4 linked regions of the Caenorhabditis elegans genome follow. The protein of the gene in region 1 purifies or fractionates together with the protein of each later gene. This does not show direct contact. Each region holds a gene or a part of one and is shown in the gene's direction. Other genes may lie near its edges. The genes, in order: msra-1, pgm-1, T09B4.8 and F53F4.15.

The links.
Region 2: the proteins of msra-1 (region 1) and pgm-1 fractionate together in Caenorhabditis elegans (co-fractionation; one large-scale study listed by BioGRID). This does not show direct contact.
Region 3: the proteins of msra-1 (region 1) and T09B4.8 fractionate together in Caenorhabditis elegans (co-fractionation; one large-scale study listed by BioGRID). This does not show direct contact.
Region 4: the proteins of msra-1 (region 1) and F53F4.15 fractionate together in Caenorhabditis elegans (co-fractionation; one large-scale study listed by BioGRID). This does not show direct contact.

What each region holds. Positions count from the first base shown.
Region 1 is NC_003280.10:7,361,926-7,366,574, reverse strand, and holds msra-1 (peptide-methionine (S)-S-oxide reductase), read left to right. Parts: upstream 1-2,534; 5' UTR 2,535-2,541; coding exon 2,542-2,790; intron 2,791-2,923; coding exon 2,924-3,298; 3' UTR 3,299-3,355; downstream 3,356-4,649. Other genes in the region: insc-1 (Protein inscuteable homologue C-terminal domain-containing protein), read right to left, coding at 3,401-3,522, 3,571-3,851, 4,162-4,264, 4,312-4,465, 4,547-4,649.
Region 2 is NC_003280.10:4,886,482-4,892,576, forward strand, and holds pgm-1 (phosphoglucomutase (alpha-D-glucose-1,6-bisphosphate-dependent)), read left to right. Parts: upstream 1-2,955; 5' UTR 2,956-2,961; coding exon 2,962-3,207; intron 3,208-3,260; coding exon 3,261-3,541; intron 3,542-3,588; coding exon 3,589-4,474; intron 4,475-4,525; coding exon 4,526-4,819; 3' UTR 4,820-4,946; downstream 4,947-6,095. Other genes in the region: R05F9.7 (Serpentine Receptor, class E (Epsilon)), read left to right, coding at 1-131, 653-865, 1,115-1,176, 1,225-1,572, 1,617-1,730; gst-9 (putative glutathione S-transferase 9), read left to right, coding at 5,107-5,239; msp-33 (Major sperm protein 33), read right to left, coding at 5,830-6,095.
Region 3 is NC_003279.8:6,163,117-6,168,850, reverse strand, and holds T09B4.8 (Alanine--glyoxylate aminotransferase 2, mitochondrial), read left to right. Parts: upstream 1-2,311; 5' UTR 2,312-2,319; coding exon 2,320-2,492; intron 2,493-2,536; coding exon 2,537-2,660; intron 2,661-2,778; coding exon 2,779-3,203; intron 3,204-3,250; coding exon 3,251-3,360; intron 3,361-3,417; coding exon 3,418-3,698; intron 3,699-3,748; coding exon 3,749-3,835; intron 3,836-3,879; coding exon 3,880-4,014; 3' UTR 4,015-4,132; downstream 4,133-5,734. Other genes in the region: T09B4.4 (EF-hand domain-containing protein), read right to left, coding at 249-405, 447-549, 599-733, 801-834.
Region 4 is NC_003283.11:13,617,712-13,622,025, forward strand, and holds F53F4.15 (Neuropeptide-Like Protein), read left to right. Parts: upstream 1-3,264; 5' UTR 3,265-3,295; coding exon 3,296-3,443; intron 3,444-3,489; coding exon 3,490-3,695; 3' UTR 3,696-3,765; downstream 3,766-4,314. Other genes in the region: srd-11 (G-protein coupled receptors family 1 profile domain-containing protein), read right to left, coding at 140-257, 300-490, 944-1,216, 1,261-1,414, 1,464-1,630, 1,865-1,975; F53F4.16 (uncharacterized protein), read right to left, coding at 3,871-3,930, 3,975-4,109.

The sequences.
Region 1 (4,649 bases):
ATGAAAACGAAAATTCAAGTTCACCCGGTATGGCATGTACAAGAAGCTCTCAAAATTGTCACTGAAAACAAGAAATAACCCTAACTATAAATTTTTACTCGAATAAAAATTTTGAGATTTTTCAAAATTTCAACTTTTTCTCTTCACATTGGTCAACAGAAATGTCGGTCAGATTTTTTGAGCAATTTTTCTCAATGTTTATCTAATATTGTAAAACATAGTTAGTTTGGTATTTTCCATAATTTTCAGTATCTACTAATAAATTTCTGAAGTTAAACCTGCCATTGTGTAGAGAATTTTTCTAGCTTTCGAACAAGCCTAACTAGGCATTTGTAGCGTATCTTCAAACTGGCGTATCTTGAAAAATCCACGTCTATGAAGCAAATGTTCAACTAAAAAAATGTTTAAAAATATTTTTTCTTTTTTTTGCATTTAGTTTCATTGCAAGATACCAGTTATTTGTTGAGTTACACTGATTCAAATAAATTTTCCCAATACCCATCGAAATTTTTGAGAACTGTTCTGCTCTACCATTCATAATTCAACATCCATTGAATTTTAGATAACAAAACTTATGGGGTTATTCAAGTAGTGTCGGAAAATTAAAAAGTGTAGATTAATTACGTCACAACTGTATTCAAGTATATAAAAACATGTATTTAAATACATTAGTGACGTCACAAATGTATTTAAATACATTTTGCTACATTACTTGAATAACCCCATTAATAAATAATAATTGCAAGATATTTTTCCACATTTTATCAGTTTATATCTTGCAATTATTATTCATTAACATTTTACTTCTGAAACTCAATCGACAAAATTTTTAGTGGTTTTTGGTAAAATGACTCTGTGTAACAAATAATTGGTATTTTGCACTGAAAAGTAATGCAGAAAAAATAAAAAATATTTCTAATCATTTTGTTAGTTGAACATTTGTTTCCTGGATGTTTATTTTTCAAGATACGCCAGTTTGAAGATACGCAATTTCGTGAGTTCAAGAAGTTATTTGGTAAACCGAGCCTGGGCTTGCAACTTTTGCTGGCAAGTATTATTTTAATGAGAATTTAGAATGTTGTATTGCCTAACTATTGAATTGTAGAAAATTATAGTATACTTCTACAACGGTTCAATAAAACAATAGTGATGTACTGTGGGCACACTCAGAAAAACGCTTAGTAGTCTAATTAGATTTCGACCATATTGGATTAGATTTGTTTTCTAATGAAATATGGAGGAAATCTAATCTAGCATGGATTTCTAATCTAATATGGAGCAAATATAATGCAATATGGATTTTCTAAACAAATATGGTTGAAATCTCGTTGAATACGGTTGAAATCTAATTAGACGACTAAGCGTTTGTCTGAGCAGGTGTCACAGTGGATTTGTAGTCCAAATGACTGTCTGTAAAAACAACATTATTTTTGAGCTTCAAAACTAACTTGCAAGTAGGTCAAAACGTTCAGACTGAGCCAGTCTTACTCCACCCCCACTACCATCCTCACAAGTGAACGAATTCCGTCAAATAGGTATAACTTATTCATTTGTGCATTGAACATTTGCTGCAGCAATGCAAGTTCTTGATGATATAACTGCTGAACTAGCGAATCTAGATTATCTTCGTCAACGTTCCATCCGTGAAATACAAAATACATTGCGAAAACAAGAAGACATGGAATTAGATAAAGCTGCTGAAGTCATAGTAAATTATCAAGATCCAAGAGCACACTATATTTTAATAGTTCAGAAATAACTTAGGTTTCCATTTCACTTTTTTTCTGGAAATATCCTTTATTAACCAGACACGAGGTTTTAGGGTTTTTGAGCCAACCCCGGTCTTGACACGACAGATTTTTGTACAATACGAACAGGCGTGCGCCTTTAATGAGTACTGTAGGTTCAAACTTTCGGAAATTTCATTTATTTTTCATAGTTTTTTGATTAATTGTTTTTTAGCTAATCGAATAAACAAAAAAAAACGATTGTTGTAAGACGAGGAAAAGTTCAATGTTCTCACAAGTGAAAGAGCTCCGTCAACTAGGTATAACTTATTCATTTGTACATTGAACATTTTGCAATTTCTAACGAAAAATACAGGGCCTAAAATTAGAAACTATTTTGATCAAAAGAAAGTTCATGGAAAAGCTCAGTTATTGTCCATTGAACCCAACGTGTACTCAATATCATCAAAAGAAACATCTTTACCAAAAAGCGATCTATGTCATCATTTCTGACTGGCCATCTGCTTTTTCTTCGTCTACCACTGCTGGCAGAATGATGATAAAGCATGTCGTGTCTATATGCCTGCGTCTAACATTGTATGTTTTCTTTTCTACTTGTCTTCTTCATCGATTCCCTCTGCGTCTCTTTCCTCTTTCTGATGTAATCGCAAAATTTACAGGAATCACATTTTGATTCCGCCCCGATTTGTATATAAATTGACTGTGAAACATACGTTTTTACATTGTTTACTAATTTTTTAATTCCTTTATAAACTCAAAACCTTTTTCAATCCGATATAATTTCAGGTGAAACATGGCTTATTTGGAGCGTGCCTATTTTGGTCTTCAGTGCTTCTGGGGAGAATCTGCATGGGCGAAGCTGAAAGGAGTTGTGGTGACACGAGTTGGATATGCTGGAGGAAAACAACCAAATCCTACTTATAAGAATATCAAGGATCATACTGAAATCACAGAGATCACTTTTGATCCAAAAGTTATTGAATACTCAAAGCTCACCAACTTCTTTTGGAAGCATCACAACCCAGCTGAAAGGAGAAAGAAGGTAATTTTCGAATTGACTTTAAAGTTTCAAATATTGTTCTACTGGAAAACGTAACAAAAAGTAAGTTCTAATTGATTATAATTTTTTAGGTTAAAATACATTTAAACTTCAAATTAATTCGTTTCAATTTCAGCAATACCAATCTGCGATTCTCTACGTAAATGACGACCAAAAGAAAGTCGCTGAAGAAACTTTGAAAGTAGCAAAGGACAAGCATGGAGACATTGAAACATATATTGAGCCATTGGACAAGTTCTATCAAGCTGAAGATTACCATCAAAAATATTGGTTCCGTCAAAAGAAGATTCTTTTCGATGAACTGTCTCTTCTTGATACTCAAGTTGCTGAAGGAGAACTTGCCACAAAATTGAACGCATATTGTGCTGGCTTCCAGGACTTCCACGATCTTGAGCGTCTTGCAAAAGAGTACGGATTAAAGGATTCTTTTGTCAATAAGGTGAAGGACTATGCTCTGTCAGGAGGAGATCCAAGAAACTGTCATGCTTAAATTATATGAATGTACAATCGAACTTTTATCAGGTTTTCAATGAATTTTATTTTATCACAGATTCTTGTGTTTGTTTGTTTAACAAAGGAAGATATTTGAATATTATACTGCACTTTCAGATTGGTATTTAGATTCCAACTTTGTGCGAATATTGTTGCATATCATATTAAATGGATTTGAAGAGTTGTTGTCATCATAAAGCACATTGCTCAAAATTGCGTAGGCTGTAACTTGAACATATATGAAACGTTGAATAATTCTGAAAATCTCACCATTATTACCATACAAGGCTTTGAGCCCAATTTCACTGTTAGCTAAAGTACCAATACATACAGCAGCTTTGTACCGTATCCTTCTACAGTAATCCGCATGGATTGGATGGGTAAGGGATAAAAATTCAAGAAGCACTGGAATTGCATTTTGATCAACCATTTGATGATCTAAATGACGGGCGGCAAGGCGAGAAAAGGCTGTAACAATTTGTTCCTGGACGAAGACAGTGGCACAATTTTCTCGATTATAAGCAGATATCAGACGACGAATTGAATTATTTCTGAAAATATTTACATTTACATGTTGCAAAAAACTTTTCAAAATCCCAAAATAGAGAGCGATCCTATAAATTTTCAGATTTTTTTTTAAATTCGAGACTGTTTTCAGTTTTATCTGGTAGGCTGGTTTACCGTTTTGTAGTTTCTAGGTAACTTGTAGCAATTGCTACAAAAGTTAGAACAAGGAATTCGCCTTGAAATTTTGCATTCATTTTCTACAATTACGTGCTATAGCTCAATTTAATGTTGGTTCAAATTTAATTTTGTACTGAGCTTTTGCGAAAATAGTTAAATGCTTAAAATTCAACAAACCTGTACATAATATCAACTCCATTTGGGTTCTGAAGTGTCACATTGTTCAATGCAGCGGTTGCCAAAAGCAAAGAGTCACCTGATTTACATTGATCTATTAGATCTGAAATTAATTATTTAGTCTCCAATTTTTATATTTAAATTGGTTACCCAAAAGTCTGGATATAATTGGTTCCACATGATTTAACCGAATGAATGCAGACTGAGGATTGGTAAGTTGTGTCAGAATACCAGCTGCCTCGACGGAACAGATTGATGAGGAAATGGATAAAAGTCTATCAATAACCAAATCCAAGCCTCCTTGCTGAAATTAATCAATTTGTATTGATTGAATTTGTATTGAATTTGTATTGAAAAGTATTGATTATAAAATATATCTAATTACCGTGAGCAAAGCAAGTGCTCCTTTTGAAACTCCACATAACACTGCCAATGTTCGAAGTAAAAATCTAAGAGTGTTCTCCTGTGGTTGATCATTCTTCATAATT
Region 2 (6,095 bases), 2.5 Mb from region 1:
TTATTTTGTGAAAAGTTTCCAAATTGTACATTTGAATTTACAATATCTATTTTTGCTCTTCACGACTTTATATATTTTTGGAAGTCTGGCCAGATTCTACATGATTTTGGTTCAATTAAAGTTTGTCACAGGTTTGTAAAAAAACTTTCGTCTCATATGCTTTCTGGTAAGATTTAACTTGTTCTGAAAGAGGTTTACACTTATTTGACTGAAAAACGACAAGATAAACATTGGCAAATCACACATTTTCTGAAAAATCTGAAATTTCCAAAATTTATAATAGTTACATTTTAAAATGGAATTTTGAAAACACGACTCATATCATTGGTGTTAGCGATGTATGTTGAACATTCTTCAAGTCATGTTGTATGGAGCTGCCATAACATGTTCCAAATGAATGAGCTGGTGGAAGTTGGGTAACATTTTCACAAAATAATAAAATCAAAAGTTGAAAAAATATGTGTATACTTGTGGGGATTGTAAATGTGACTGAAATTGTAGATTTTTCAGATTTTCTTTGCACGCAAATTTAAAATTCAATCAGAAATTCAGTCGTTCCAGTAATTTTTAAATGGTAAAAATTGTCCAACGCCATATATGTTTTTTTTTCAAATTTTAAACTTATATGACTCGGTAGCTCAATATTTTTCAGATCTCGACACGCCGTATCTCCTCGTAGCGGGAATATTGAGAATGGAACATTATGGAGTTAGTTTAAGTGCAATTTTAGTAGTAACTATTGAACGAGCATTTGCAACTTATTATGTGGTCGATTATGAAACGAAGCACAGATGTTGGGTTGCTGCATTTTGTGCTTTGGTCAGCCTAACCTATACTCAATGTTTTGTGATTCCCATTTGTTTCTGTAAGTTTTATTCTCTTACAGTTTTTGTGCCTACGTGCCTGCCTGCGTCCTTGGAAAAACTTGGAAAAAAACACAAGAAAATTTGCAGAACACACAACTTTCCAAAAGGGGTTTTTTGGGATTTTCTATTTTCAAAAAAGCAGCAAAATAACCTAATTTTAAAAACAAAAAAGGGGTAGGTATAGGCACTGGCAGGCATATACTCTTTTCACAATTCACATTCTTAACATCAAAAATAGTTATTTTCAGTTGAAGCTTCTTTGTTGTATATTATTCTATTCGCATCACTATGGGCAGTTTTCTCAAACATTGTAAGAAGCACAATGCCCATTTTTCAAAATAATTTCTTCATTTTTTAGGTTTTAATGTGCCTTTACTATTATAATGTACAAGAATCCAAGAGATTATCATGGAAAGCTGAGAATCTTCGGAAAATGAAAAATGTAAATTATACATTGAGCAAGAAGTTTCAAGTTGAAGAAAATGTGAAAATTATTAAATATCTGCAAGTTATGAGCTCCATGTTGGTTTTTCTCATATTTTTTGTTATTATATTTATTGTAGTTCCTAGAGTATATCTGGGTTCAAAAACATATTCGGGTCAAGTTATGATTTCACTTTTTGATATTAATTTGGCACTTGGTGCAATTCTAATTCCTTCCGTTTGCGTTTTACATTTACGGAAAACTAGAGATATGCCATTTTCTGTAGGTTTTTATCAATTTTTCAGATTTTCATTATATATTTTCAGGGGAAAATCCATTGTTTGAATAAGAGACGCGATGACCGTCAGGTGAACCCGATTACTGTATTTGAAGACGTTACAAAATCATATTTCGATCAATTTCAAACATCTTGGCGATGATTCATATGATTTTTGGAAATATTACTTTGAAGTTTTGTTATAAAATGTTACATTAGAAACATTTGTGTTTTTTAAACATGTTTTATTCTTCAGTGATTCTTCCAGCACAAAACAAAAACAGCACAAAGTCCGTTGTTTTATTTTTAGTGAGAGCGTCACTTTGTTTTTATAAATAATTTAGATTCTTTTATTCATATAATTTTTGGGTAAAAAACTGTTTTTGGTTTTTTGAAAAATTTCATTAAAGTGAAACATTAACCACGGTAGAATTAAAGGCGCAGCATGAATAAGTTTTCGTGTGCTCCGCAACGATTTTAACTACCTTAACCTACAATCGGAATTCGTTTAAAAAACAAAAAGCGAGTCATTTTGTTTCAATAAAAAGTTGAGTTTTTCTTAAATACTTATCAATATTTTCTCCAAATTTCATTCGGTTACTATCAAAAAAAAGTTTTTTATTAATTACGGTCGGTTTAAAGGCACAGAAGGAAAAAAGTGTTTGTCAGTATCGCAGCGATTTTAATTACCGCATACCATTATTGAAATTTTGTTTGAAAAAAACAAATTACTCGAAATGCGCGCGCGGTATTCACCATTTGTATCGTTCTTTTTCCCGAAATTTCGTTGTTTTTGTGTTCGACACAATATATTCAATAGTTTGTAGCGATGAAAACCTTGATAAGCAATAGGGGGCGTCTCGAATTTTCGAAAGAGAGTATAAAGAAGATAAATTTTTTTTCGCTCATTGATTTCTTTTCATTTTTCTTTATCTTTTTTGATGAACAGCAGCAGTTGTTCCATTTCTACACGTATTTTGTTGCTCTCTATTTCTCTGAACTCTCTGTTTGTGTGGGTGCTCTCCTTTGGCGCCAACAACTGCAGCTGGCATTTCTTTTCTTTTTTCGCTGCGAAATCTGAACTATTCCTGCCCACCCACCAGAAGATAAATAAATTCTTCGTGTTCTTAACATGTCTGTCTACCTGGACTTTAAAAACCCCATTTAAAAGTTGCATTTGAGGTCAAAAGTTATCCCAGAAGAGTTCGAGCACATTTTAGGTCGGCCCATTTCTAAAGTTATTCATTTTTCTATGTTTACTATCACTGAACATTGACCAACCACTTGACTTTCGTGATAAGATACGAAGCGATCATTTTCTGTTTACTATTTTCTCTTTTCTCATAGTCAGTCCATTTTATTTTCTGATCTATAATATTTATTTTCAGCCTAAAATGGGAATCGCCGTCGTTGAAACCCCCACAAAACCATTCGCAGGACAGAAACCCGGAACATCTGGTCTTCGCAAACGGGTTCCGGAATTCCAGCAGCAGAATTACACGGAAAACTTTGTTCAAGCAATTTTGGATGCTGGTCTTGGATCGAAAAAGAAGGGTTCTCAGTTGGTTGTTGGTGGAGATGGACGGTTTCTTTCGATGGAAGCCACAAATGTGATTATTAAAATTGCAGCAGCCAATGGGGTAAGAAATATTGAGAAATTTTAGTAATTTTTTTATAAATTTGAGTTTTTCAGCTTTCCCGTCTTATCGTCGGTCAAAACGGTTTCTTGTCGACGCCAGCTCTCTCGAATCTTATCAGAAAAGGACACGAAGGTCGTGTTGTTGATGGAGGAATAATTCTCACTGCTAGTCACAATCCAGGAGGTCCAAAGGGAGATTTTGGAATCAAATTCAACTGCGAAAATGGTGGACCTGCTCCAGATCAAGTCACTGATGCCATTTATCAGATCACAACTAAAATCGATAAATACTTGATTGCCAAGGATTTAGAATGCGATTTTACACAAGTTGGAAGGTAAACACATCAATATTTTGATTACATTGATGTACATTAATTTTCAGATATGAATATGATATTGAGGGAGTTGGTCACTTTGTCGTTGACGTCATTGATTCAGTTACCGAATACATCAACCTCATGCAGAAAATCTTTGATTTCCCAAAAATCAAATCCCTTCTCGCTGGTGAACTTACTGGACGCAAACTCAGAGTTTTACTTGATTCGATGCACGGAGCAACTGGACCATACATCTCTACAATTCTTGTCGATCATCTTGGAGCTGATCCTTCTGATCTTTTGAGAACTGTTCCAAAGCCAGATTTCGGTGGAGGTCATCCAGATCCAAATCTCACCTACGCAAAAACTCTTGTTGAACGCCTCCACACCGGAGAACACGATTTAGGAGCTGCATTTGATGGAGATGGTGATCGTAATATGATTCTTGGAAAGAATGGCTTCTTCGTTTGCCCCAGTGATTCTTTAGCTGTTATTGCTGATAACATTGATTATATTCCATATTTCAAGACTCGTAAGGTTGCTGGTTTTGCTCGTTCAATGCCAACTGCTGGAGCTGTTGATTTGGTTGCCAAGGCAAAGGGACTTCAAGTGTATGAGACACCGACCGGTTGGAAGTACTTTGGAAATCTTATGGATGCTGGAAGAATTGCTATTTGTGGAGAAGAATCATTCGGAACTGGATCTGATCACATTCGTGAGAAGGATGGCGTTTGGGCACTTCTTGCATGGCTTCAAATTCTCGCAGACCGAAAAGAATCCGTCGAGGAAATTGTGACGAAGCATTGGCAGAAATATGGAAGAAATGTGTTCACTCGTTACGACTATGAGAATGTGGATGCAGCTGGTGCCAACTTGTTGATGACTTTCCTTGAAGCTCAATTGCCAGCATTTGTTGGAAGAGATTTCTCGGCAAATGGGGTTACATATAAGGTGAGAGAAAGTTCGAAAAGATTTATTTTTTCTAAAAAATACTATTTCCAGGTTGCTGTCGCTGACAATTTCCAATATACTGATCCAGTGGATGGTTCAGTTGCAACCAAACAAGGACTCCGAATTGTCTTCGAAGATGGATCTCGATTGGTATTCCGACTCTCTGGAACAGGATCTGCCGGTGCTACCATCCGTCTCTACGTTGATTCGTACATTCCTTCAAATGACACTTCTCGCCTTCTACTTCCAGCTCACGAATTGCTCAAACCATTGGTGTTGATTGCACTTGATACTTGCAAAATGGAGCAGTTCACTAATCGCAAGGCTCCAACTGTTATCACATAATTTTAGTATTTAAAAATGATTTATATATTGCATGAGTTTAGCTAAATAATTATGTGTAGATTTTCCTCGGTTTATATAATTTTATGTTGCACGTAAACGAAAAGTTGAATGAAAATTTGAAAACTTATGAGAATATTGTGAAATACATCAATGTTGGTTTTTGGAAAAAAAAGTTGATGTTTGTGGTTTTCTGATGTCGATTTAGTGAGAAATGAGAAACGCAGACACTGAGAGCGAAGGGTTCAAAAGCGCCAGATTGTGACGAATTCTTCATTTTATTCTGAAAAATGGTTTCCTATAAACTAATTTATTTTCAATCTCGTGGAAATGGAGAAATCGCTCGTCAAGTTTTCGCTTTTGCCGGCCAAGAATTTATTGATGAGCGTATTTCTAAAGAGCAGTGGGCAGAAATTAAAAATAGTAAGTTCAAAAGTTGCATTTTAGAATGAAATCCTCAGTTTAAAAAGTTGATTAATTACAATGTAGCGAAATGCTTCAGTTTTTAAGTGGTATCCCGCCACGAACAAAATATCCTCACATAAAGATTAAGGTGTGCCTTTAAGCAGTACAGTAACCCATTTTACAATTTTATTCGATTTTTCCACATTATTAAATAAATTCAATTCGATTTTCTACTGAAAAAAATCGAAAATATAACAATTCAAATATATATTTATTATTGGGGATTTTGGCAGATACTGCAGAAATTTAAAAAACTTTGCAATGCAAAAAAAAAATCAAAAATTCCAGGCTTCTTTTGGAATCATTTTGGCAGAACCTGCAGAAATATTAAAGTTCGGTTTTTTTAAAGAGATGATCGAAGAAACATTGTAGTGTCGAGCCAGCTGATCTAGAGGAAAATGCTCAAACGAGGAGTGGAAAGGAAGCTCTTTTTTCGAGCATGACAATATTATCTCGTTTGAAAATCTCTGAAAATATGTTCAAGTAAAAAAAAACAAAAAACGAGCTATCAATGAAAGTTTATTGAAGTTTTGGAAAGTTCACAAATCCTATGGGTTGTACTCGATTGGGAGGTTCTTACGACGAACCATACCGTCTCCTTGGAACCATTCCCGACGGAATTGCTTAGCAGCACCATCCGGAGTGTTGGTCCACTCAACAGTGATACGATCGTTGTTAGTGTCCTCCTGTCCAAAGGCGAAGGCATCGCAGGAAACTGCCAGAAAAACAGCTTCCTTTGGGTCCAGAACTCCACATGGTGGATCAACTCCAAGTCTCTTCATATTGGTGGTCTTGATACCGTATCCAATACGGC
Region 3 (5,734 bases), on another chromosome or scaffold:
CAAAACTATTTTGGGGTATTTTCTTTACTAAAATACTGATTCAGACATTTTAGTCGCGAGAAAAAGATTAGGATTTTATTTTTAATTTTACTTTTCGTGTTTTGTTCTGACATGTTTGTGACTGCCCTGACGAAAATTATAATTTTTTAATAATTATTTCCAAATATATTGCAGCCGTTCTTAATCCAATAACTCACTAGACAGCTCCCAGATAAAAACAATTTATTTTTATTTGCTCAAAGTAAATTTCATTTGGAAATATACTCAATAAGTGCTTGATGAGGAACCATTCCGTTGACCTCAACTTTTGATAAAAGATATTTAATCTCCTCTGGACTCATTTGCTCCCCAACGTGTGAAAGTATTGCGGCAAGCTCACGAGATGGCATTGCGCGAGTTTTATTTCTGAAAATTTCGTATTTATTTTGTAAAGCACATCAACTAACCTATCCAATCCACTTAACGCTTTGATAATCTCCGTCAGTGGATTCGGACTATTTTGTTCATCTTTGCAAATGTCCAAAAATGTTGCAAATTCGATTGGTTTTTCTGAAATAAATAGCAATCATTCAGAAGTGTAATGTTCTAAAACTCATACTATTAAGCTTCTTGAAATAAATATCAGTTTTGGAAGCAGTTGGAGAATATCCAAGACTTCGGAGAGCACATCGAAGTTGAGAATCTGTTCTTAGTACTCCACTGGTTGAATAAAAGTTGAAGCATTCACGAATTTCTGATGAGAAACAATAAAGTAAAGATTTCGGAGTCAAATCTTGGAATTATAGTGTTGTTTCACTTACCATCAATCTGCTTCTGCGAGAAAAATTCAGTCATTTCTTCTTTGTTTTAAAATGTTAATATATAAAATAGCCAAACCCGAGCAGCAAAATGTGAATTGAAATTCTGTGAAAAGAACTGTGTGAGAAAACGAGAGAGCGTAGGTAAATAAAAAGCGAATCGCGGAACGGTGTTTGACGGGTCAAAACAAAGGCGGAAAACAAGAAAAAACGAGAGATTTGGCAGGAATACAAGCTTTTTTCTCAACGAAAAATTATCCTCAACTTGGACCAAAACAAAAATCAATAAATGAGAAAATTGATGTTGTATGCAACACTGGTATTGATAACAATACGCAAATTTGGGTTATCTGCATCTTTTACATAGAGAAGAAGAAATAGCAAAGAAATTGTGAAGAAGAAGAGAAAAAGAAAGTCGCACGAGAACGGTTGCGATTGAAAAGAGAAAGTTTTGATGCGAGAAGGAAAGAAGACTTAGATTTTCGGCAACTCGGCAATTTTACAGAATATAATACACTGCGGGTACTGCTTATAAATAAAAAGTCACACGGAAAATAAACTTTATGGATTCAACAGTTAAGTTGGTTTTATAAATAATACTCGGAATACTCCAAACTTTTAATAAATACCGCAAAATCAAAACTTGAGGGGAAGAAAAATACAATTCAAGATTGTGCAATTTTTTCTCTTATTAATTCCATTTATCATGGGTTTTGTGCATTTTTTCTTTTTTTTTTTCTTCTATTCTTTTTCTTCTATTCAATTTTCTGGAATTTCATGTGCTCTCTTCCTCCTCCCGGCCTGCCTAAGCCTAAGCCTACGCCTATGCCCAAGCCTGAACTAAGCCCCACGAGAAAGTATTGAAAGTATTTCTTCGGATCCACCACATAAAGTCAAATCAAGAATATTATTAAAAGGGTCAATAATCAGAATTGAATGTCCTATTCATTTTTATCAATTGATACGTGCAACAGTTATCAATTATCATCTCTTGATATCTTTCAGTTGTTCTATGAAAATTCTTTCTTTCATTTTTTCTTTTTGCAGGCAGTTTTTCACAAAGAACCGTTCTAATAATGACATTTTTCTTTCTTTAATTTTTTAACTTGTTGTTCTTTTGCACTTCTGTCCTCAAACACGTTGCTCTTTTTCTCTTCTCCACACATTTATTGGTCACTCTCTCTAATTTTCCCAACGACAACTGTCTCAGAGCCAAATGAAAAAGTATTTGAATGGAAGATACGCAGACAGTCATAGACAGTTGTCTTTTTGGTGCATTTTTGTGTGTGTGTGTTGTGTAATATATCCAACTTGACCTTGAAACATTTGACACACCCTCCAGTTATTTTGTGTGCAATTGTGTTTCTTAAATGCCTATAAGTTCTAATGATTTCCTGTATTTAACTTGTATTCCACACGAAAGTAGATTTTTCCGTGAACTTTTCAAAATTTTCCACAAGTCATTATTTTTTGGATCCCTTTAATCGATTCATCAAATATTGAAAAAATTTCAGCTTAAACCATGCAACGAGTGCAGGCACTTCGTCCATTACTTCCAAAGGGACATGTGACCTATTACAAGGATCAACTCTTGATTACGAAAGGTGAAAAACAATTCCTTTTTGATTCGAATGGAAAGAAATATCTCGATTTCTTTGGTGGAATTGTCACAGTCTCAGTTGGACATTGTCATCCGTGAGTATTCTTTTTGTAAGCTTATGAGAATTTTATGCTTTCAGAAAAATCAACGCAGCTCTTACCGAGCAAGCACAGAAGCTTTGGCATACCACGTCCATTTATCACACTGAACCAATTTATGAGTATGCTGAGAAGTTGCTCTCAAAGTTCCCAAGCAAATTGAATGTTAGTTTTTATTTTTTACCCTTTTATCAAACCCTACAGTTTGCAGACTTGAAACTGTTAGGCCTTCCTATAGTGAATTACTAAATATCTAGTCGTTTCTTCACATCCAAATTTTCAGTCAGTCTTCTTTGTGAACTCTGGATCGGAAGCAAATGACCTGGCTTTAGCTCTTGCTCGTAACTACACAGGACGATTTGATGTTATCTCGATGAGAAATGGATATCATGGAATGACCCAAACTGTTCTTGGAGCAACTAATTTGGGAAACTGGAAACCAGTTTTTCCACATGGATTCAACATTTTTAAGTCATTGAATGCTGATCCATATCGTGGAATCTTTGGAGGAAGCAATTGTCGTGACTCTCCAATTCAAGTAAAGAACAGAAAATGCGATTGCAAGCCTGGATCCTGTCAAGCTTCTGATAAGTACATTGAACAGTTCGATGATATGCTTCTTCACGATTTCTCTCATTCATCCGGACCAGCTGCCTTCTTGATTGAATCTATTCAAGGAGTTGGAGGAACTGTTCAGTATCCACATGGGTAAAATCTCAAAAGAAAAGTGAAAAATGTGTATTTGATTTTTCCAGATATCTCAAAAAGTCTTACGAATCTGTACAAAAACGGGGAGGACTCGCTATTGCTGACGAAGTACAAACCGGTTTCGGACGCCTCGGCTCTCATTTTTGGGGATTCGAATGTGAGTTTTTAAAATAAATAATACTAAAACTAAGAAATCAATATTTTGAATTTTCAGCACAAGATGCCTTGCCAGACATGGTAACTATGGCAAAAGGAATCGGAAACGGATTCCCATTGGGAGCTGTTGTCACTAGTAAAGAAATTGCCGACTCTTTCAACAAATCTCTATACTTCAATACATATGGTGGAAATCCATTAGCTTCCGTTGTTGGAAAAGCTGTATTGGAAGTGATTGAAGAGGAGAAGCTTCAGGAAAACAGCGCTGTTGTTGGAGATTACTTCTTGAAACAACTTGCAGCAATTGATGATGCGACAATTGGAGATGTTAGAGGAAAAGTGAGAAAACTCTCTAAAAAGATTTTAATATACAATTTGATGATTTTTAGGGGTTAATGATCGGAGTGGAACTTATCGATGAGCAAGGGAAACCACTTGCCGCAGCCAAAACAGCAGCTATCTTCGAAGACACTAAGGTGTAATGCCATTTTACTTGTCTAACTATCAGATTAATTTACAGAACCAAGGCCTACTGATCGGAAAAGGAGGTATCCATGGAAACGTTCTCCGTATCAAACCACCAATGTGTATTACTAAAAAGGATGTCGATTTTGCTGTAGACATCATTGCCAAATCAATTAAACAATACAAATAATTTCATAGGCGCCGTCATTTCTTCATTTCGATATTACCAAATTCTTGTTTTTTGTTGTTGTTTCAAACTATAATTCAAATATTCAAAATTCTTTCGGGTTCTATGAAATTATTGTTCCAAAACGCTTCAATTTGTATTGTTCAGACCACTCCCTTTTTTAAGACGTACAGCTACAAATTCAGATCTGAACACGAAAATCCGTCAGTCAACTTGGTATTCTTCTTTTTTCGCATTTCTCTTTTGCTTCTTCCAAAACGCATCCAGTTACATGTATCGTTTATGTGTTATTGGTATACTATGGCATTATGTACGCGCTTCACTTCTCCGTCACAAGGTGCTGGTGGACGGACGATGTTTAAAAAAATGAAGCGACATGCATGTACTGCGGCTGCTGCTTCTGCTGTGGATTGAGATTAAGAAAAGCTTAAAACCGGTTCCGATCCGCATGTCCTTGGCGCGCGGCAAATGCGACATAGGTGTTATCTCATCGGATGGTTAGGCGACGCCAACCGCACAACTGATGATGTAATCGAAATGCGGAAAAAGGTGAAAGTGATAGCATGGCAAAAGTTTGCCGCCAGCAGGGGTCGAACCTGCGACCTTGGGCTTATTAGACCCACGCTCTAACCGACTGAGCTATGGCGGCATAAAATGCACTCTTCAAGCGTACGAATAAAACAGCAATAAGCACGTAGGTTGAATGCATTAATCTATAAGGTGTGTATATGGTTTGAATTGCTGTTTGAATGCGTATACGTTCGATTGAAAGTTCGACATGTTTCTCAGTTATTAATATAAAACAGTATTGAATCCTACAAGTTGCATCATATCACACCCTCTATAGAGGGTGTGATATTTTTTAGAGGCCTCTAGTTATTGTTTGTTAGCTTGCGACCGATATCGGATACGATTTTTACAACTTTTATGCAACACTGCAACACAACACCGGCAATCTAGATAAGACGGTGTTTTGCAGAAGCTGTCATCCTATCGAACCTTTAAAACCTGAAGGATCTATTCCTTATTACACCATTTGCCTATATGCGGAACAGAACATTTTCAGTTTTTTTTTTAATTGTTTCTCCTTGCTTTTTATTGATGAAAGTTCTTCCTCTTTCTCATGACTTACAGTACTTCTAGTTGCATCATTTTTGTTTCGTTTTTTCTAACTTTATAGCAATAGAAAACAAAAACCAGGTGGTCAACCTGCTGATTTTCATCACGCGCTCAGCTACCATCTTTCATTTTCAACCATTTTGTCTCGTAGGCACCGGGCTCCTGAACATGTGTTGGCCGCCATAGCTCAGTCGGTTAGAGCGTGGGTCTAATAAGCCCAAGGTCGCAGGTTCGACCCCTGCTGGCGGCAAACTCTTTTTTGCAGCTTCGTTTCAGCGTGAATCGCTTTGTAATAAAACAACCTGTTAGCTGGTCATTTTGGTCACTTAATCGTGTTCACTGGTTCATTGAGAAGAGAAATAGGAGATGAAAGGGAAAACATCGCTTCATTCATCGTTATGTCATTGTGAAAGGATACACAAAAATGGGCCGGCCCAAAAAAAAGGGTACTTATTGCGTTTGACTTCCTTAAGAATAGTCCTATTCCAAGTTTGACTACTGATTTAATTTTATTCTTTCTAGTAAATTTCTTGTAATTGTTTGAAGCGAGTTTAGATTTTATGTTATGAAGATATTCCGTTTTATAAACTTTTAAAAGCTAATT
Region 4 (4,314 bases), on another chromosome or scaffold:
CTTAGTTTTCATTTTAAAATAAAATGACAGAAAAGTGACTGCAAAGTGGAGAATATTATTGGGATTATATAAGTTGATAAGGGGTGGTTAGTAGGTACAAAAAACGTGCTGATAAAATAAAAGATCGATTAGTTCAATTTCAATGTTTAGATTTGATTTCATTTGAAGGAGCGACACTTGATGTTGCATTGGTTCTAGTCGCATTCAACACTGTAAGCCACTCATCTGGAATTGGATTTCCAATCATTTTGTACCACCTGAAAATAGGAATTATTTTTTAATAATTGTTTCAAGCTCACCATGATAGAACTCGTTTCTGGTAAATTTGAATAAATATCAGGCAAGAGAGTGGAGAAAGAACAGGCATAAAAAGGAATCCTGTGAGCGTGAGATATTCAAATACGGGGTGATTGAAAAAGAATTGCCCAATGACGTAAGATACAATGCTCATTCCGTAAAAGCCAGGGATCATGGCTTGCCATGTGAGAGCCTGAAAGGTTTTGGCGTTTGAAGTAATTCGTAAGCATTTCGTCACGTTTTTAATGCAGAAATCAATTGTTTGAAAAATTTCAATCGTCTCGGAGGCAACTTGATAAGTGCAACAAAAATAAGTTGCCACCGAAATCCTACATGATATCTGGTAATTTTTTGAACTAAAAGTAAGGTTTTTTAATAATTAGCTCACTGACGAAGGCGGACTACGGGCGATCCTAGGAACCTAGAACATAGGTTCAAACTTTTTTGCCAAGTTTATTACTTCTACTCACCATACTTCTACTCAAATTTTGTCCAAATCTAACCAGCTGCTAAGCAAAGTTCTTTTAGTCTAACTTGGATGCGAATGTTGTCATGTTTTATGATACATTGCTCATTCCACCCCAACCATAAAAGAAAGCATCATGCATCAACCGTAATCGTTTTGTTATTACCCGAACGCCCATACCTTCAATAGCTGCTTATGCATTTCTTTAGTTTTTGATGACATATCCTTTGAATTAGAAGTAAGGTTCTCAATAATCTTTTTTCTTAATATCCAAATAGTTATGTAGACTGGTGTTATTGGGCACGTCATATGTAGAATTGTGAACATTGCAGAAAACTCAATAATATTAATTGTTCCGCAAATAGTTTCGTTTTGAAGTTGATATTCCGGAAATCGTTCGACGACAATTCGCTTCATTTCATCTGCGTCATCGTCTGCCCACAGAAATGTTATCTTAAAAGTATCAGCTTGAAATCTAAATTGTTTCACATTATTACCATTTGGATAATTGACGGAATTGATATAAACATAAGAATTACTATCAAAGCTTTTCTCGTTGGTGCCGGATGAAACAGGATATAATATCGATATGAGAACCCCATTAGCAATGACCATAGACCATGAGCTACTAATGAAATGTTTATGCTGTATCTGAAATTAAGAAAATGAAGCGTGTCGGGGAATATGTATTATGGTGTACATAAAATAGCAGACATGGGGTCCAAAATAAGTGCACAGTCCACGTGACAAATAAGCCATTGTAAATCCAGCCGGAATATGCCGCATTTGAATGAAAAGATCTGTGAAACAGGCGAGGAAATCGGTCAATGCAAAGTTTATGAGAATTGTGGTGTAAGCGGCGATTGTCTGGAAATGGAAACTGATGTTTGAAGGTTGAAATTGCTTGTCTATGTGATGAGGAATTTCTGCAGAACATTTCCAGCTATCCCACACCTAGTTATAATGGCAGAGTTCTGTAGAAAGCTGAGCCTATATTACGAGATTTGCACAGTTTTTACCAAACTGGGAACTAAAGCTCTCAAATTTTGATTTTAATCTATATTTTATGATTAGTTCAAAGATTTTTCACGAAAAACTAACCTTCGGAGTCCGAAAAAGTGCCAAAAAGAGCACAATTGAATTGAGAATGCAGCCAGAAACTCCGGCAAACGTATGGAAAGAAAGGAAGAATAATGTGATAGAGTCCAGCATTTTTCAAGTTTTTCTGAAAGTGAAAAAAAAAATGGTAAAAGCTCTCTCTTAAATATAAATTTTTCAATAGAAAGAAAATCTTTATTTTAAGGCTTCACTGGAACGATGACTGTGAAGATTATGGTTACAGAATGATTATATTGTTCTAAGGAATGCTAAGAATTTTGCAAAATAAATAATTTTTTGGGAACTAGATTTTCCGTAATCCGTAAAAAAGTAAACAATTATCATATCTATTCACTCGACTTTTCGAAAAAGGAAGGAAAACACATCATGTGCACGTAAGATATCTCTATTTATGCTTCCTCGTGATGGCTCTCAGAGCTGTTAATTGCTTCATTCAGTAGAAAGCGTCTGGCGTACCTGAGAATATATGTACTGTTTGAATTACTCATAGTCTGGGATATATCTGTGTCGTTTCGTATTATATCAATAGTCTAGAACATTAAGTTAACTTGATGTTCTAGACAATTGTCAAAAAAAATTTACAGATCATCAAAATAGCGACGCCTTAATCATATTAAATCTATTACATAGATGTCTGAAGATGATAATTTTTGCCATATCTTACGCGCTTGGGTCTCGCCACGCTGACTACTGACTACTGTAACTCGTGCTGATTTATGACTGATCATGTTTTTATTTAAAAATTTTAGAAGCAATGTTTCATTTGAAACGAAAATTATAATGCATTATTACAGTAACTCGTTGTCAGCGTGGCGAGACCGTGCGCATAAGTATTTAAGATGTGGCGAAAATTCTTATCTTTAGATGTCTAGAATGCGTATTGCGCAAAATATTTCGCGCTACAGTAGTAATTTAAATATTTTCTGTAGTTTTCGCTACGAGATATATTGCGCGTCAGATATGTTGCACAACACGCATTCTCAGAAAGTAGTGATCTCGTAATAATACATTTGGTTAAGGCGATGTCCACGAATTACAAAATTTTATGAGAAAAATATAGGCAAGTTTTAAGAATTCATTCTTGTTCTCTTTCAGAGGTAAATAACGATTGGCTTTTACGCTGAGAAATTGGAAGTGAAACGGTAGAAGTTAAATCCAACCTACAACCTAATGCATCGTTATTCAAAAATTATGTTGTTATTTGGAAAACCTGATAAATCTGAACTATTTATATTTTTAAAGTTAATTTTCAATTAACTTTATTACATACAAAAATGCATTGCGAATCCAGTTCGCCCATATTTTTCAATCTGTCGAGATCACTGAGATATCACCAAAAAATCGTGTTTTCTTGAAGTTTTTCACCTAATCGTCTTTTCCATATTTCTCTTTCCCATTGTATGATTATCAATAATGTTTTCTCTTCATCTCTCTATTCTTTGCTTCACTCTCCTGATTGGTTATTCTATTGAAATGCCACCTGGTCGAATGTGCCTTCCGGAAAGAGTCAATTTTCGTAAAGTCTGGCCATGTGAACATGATAAAACTGCTGCCGAGATTTGTAGGTTTCACGGAGAAGTTGTAGAATTTAATATTACTTTTTGAAGTAGAAGAACGGGAAGATCGTGAAGCAAATCTTCGTGGAGCTCCGTCTGCATTTGCTCGGACAGGATTCTATGATCGTCTATTTCTTCAACAAAATCTTCCAACTGTCTATGATGATAATATTCCATATTATCCTAATTATGGCTACAATCCCAACAAGCCAGTCTGGGGATTGTATCGTTATTCTAACTATTTCATCAATCCATAATTAAATAATTTTAATGAATGAATAAATTTAAAATGATAACAAACAACGACTAAAAACTAAAAGAAAAAAACGAAAAGGGCCTATGGGGGAAAACTCAAAACCAATGATAATGGCGGAAAAATACTCGTATTTGACAAAAATTCGGAGAATGATGAGGAATTGCACATCGATAGATCTAGTTTTTGACGATTGCCGGATGTAGAATCTCGTCACGAAGTGATTTTCCGCCAAGAACCTAAATATATTTCATTAACTGCAACTAATTAGATTTAATTTTACCTGTGCTCTGTCTGGAATATAACTTTTGTAGTTGATCGCCACATATGTAGGATATGTGAGTGCACATACAGTATAATAAGCTCGTAGCAAGGTCATTCGAGCAGGCCGTTCCAGGTGATACCAGGGTAAACTCATCTGGAATAAAAGTCATGAAGTCAAGAAAAATTAGTTCTTTTATGGGTAGAATGAAAGATTCAACTCAATTTTTCAAAATTTAGAAAATCACCGAAAATCACAAAAATTGGTAAAATTGATAATTTTTCAACAAAAAAGTGAATTTCTATGTAGTTTTATTCATGTTTCGTTGACGTTTTTTTAAGTTCGAAATTAATGAGATTTT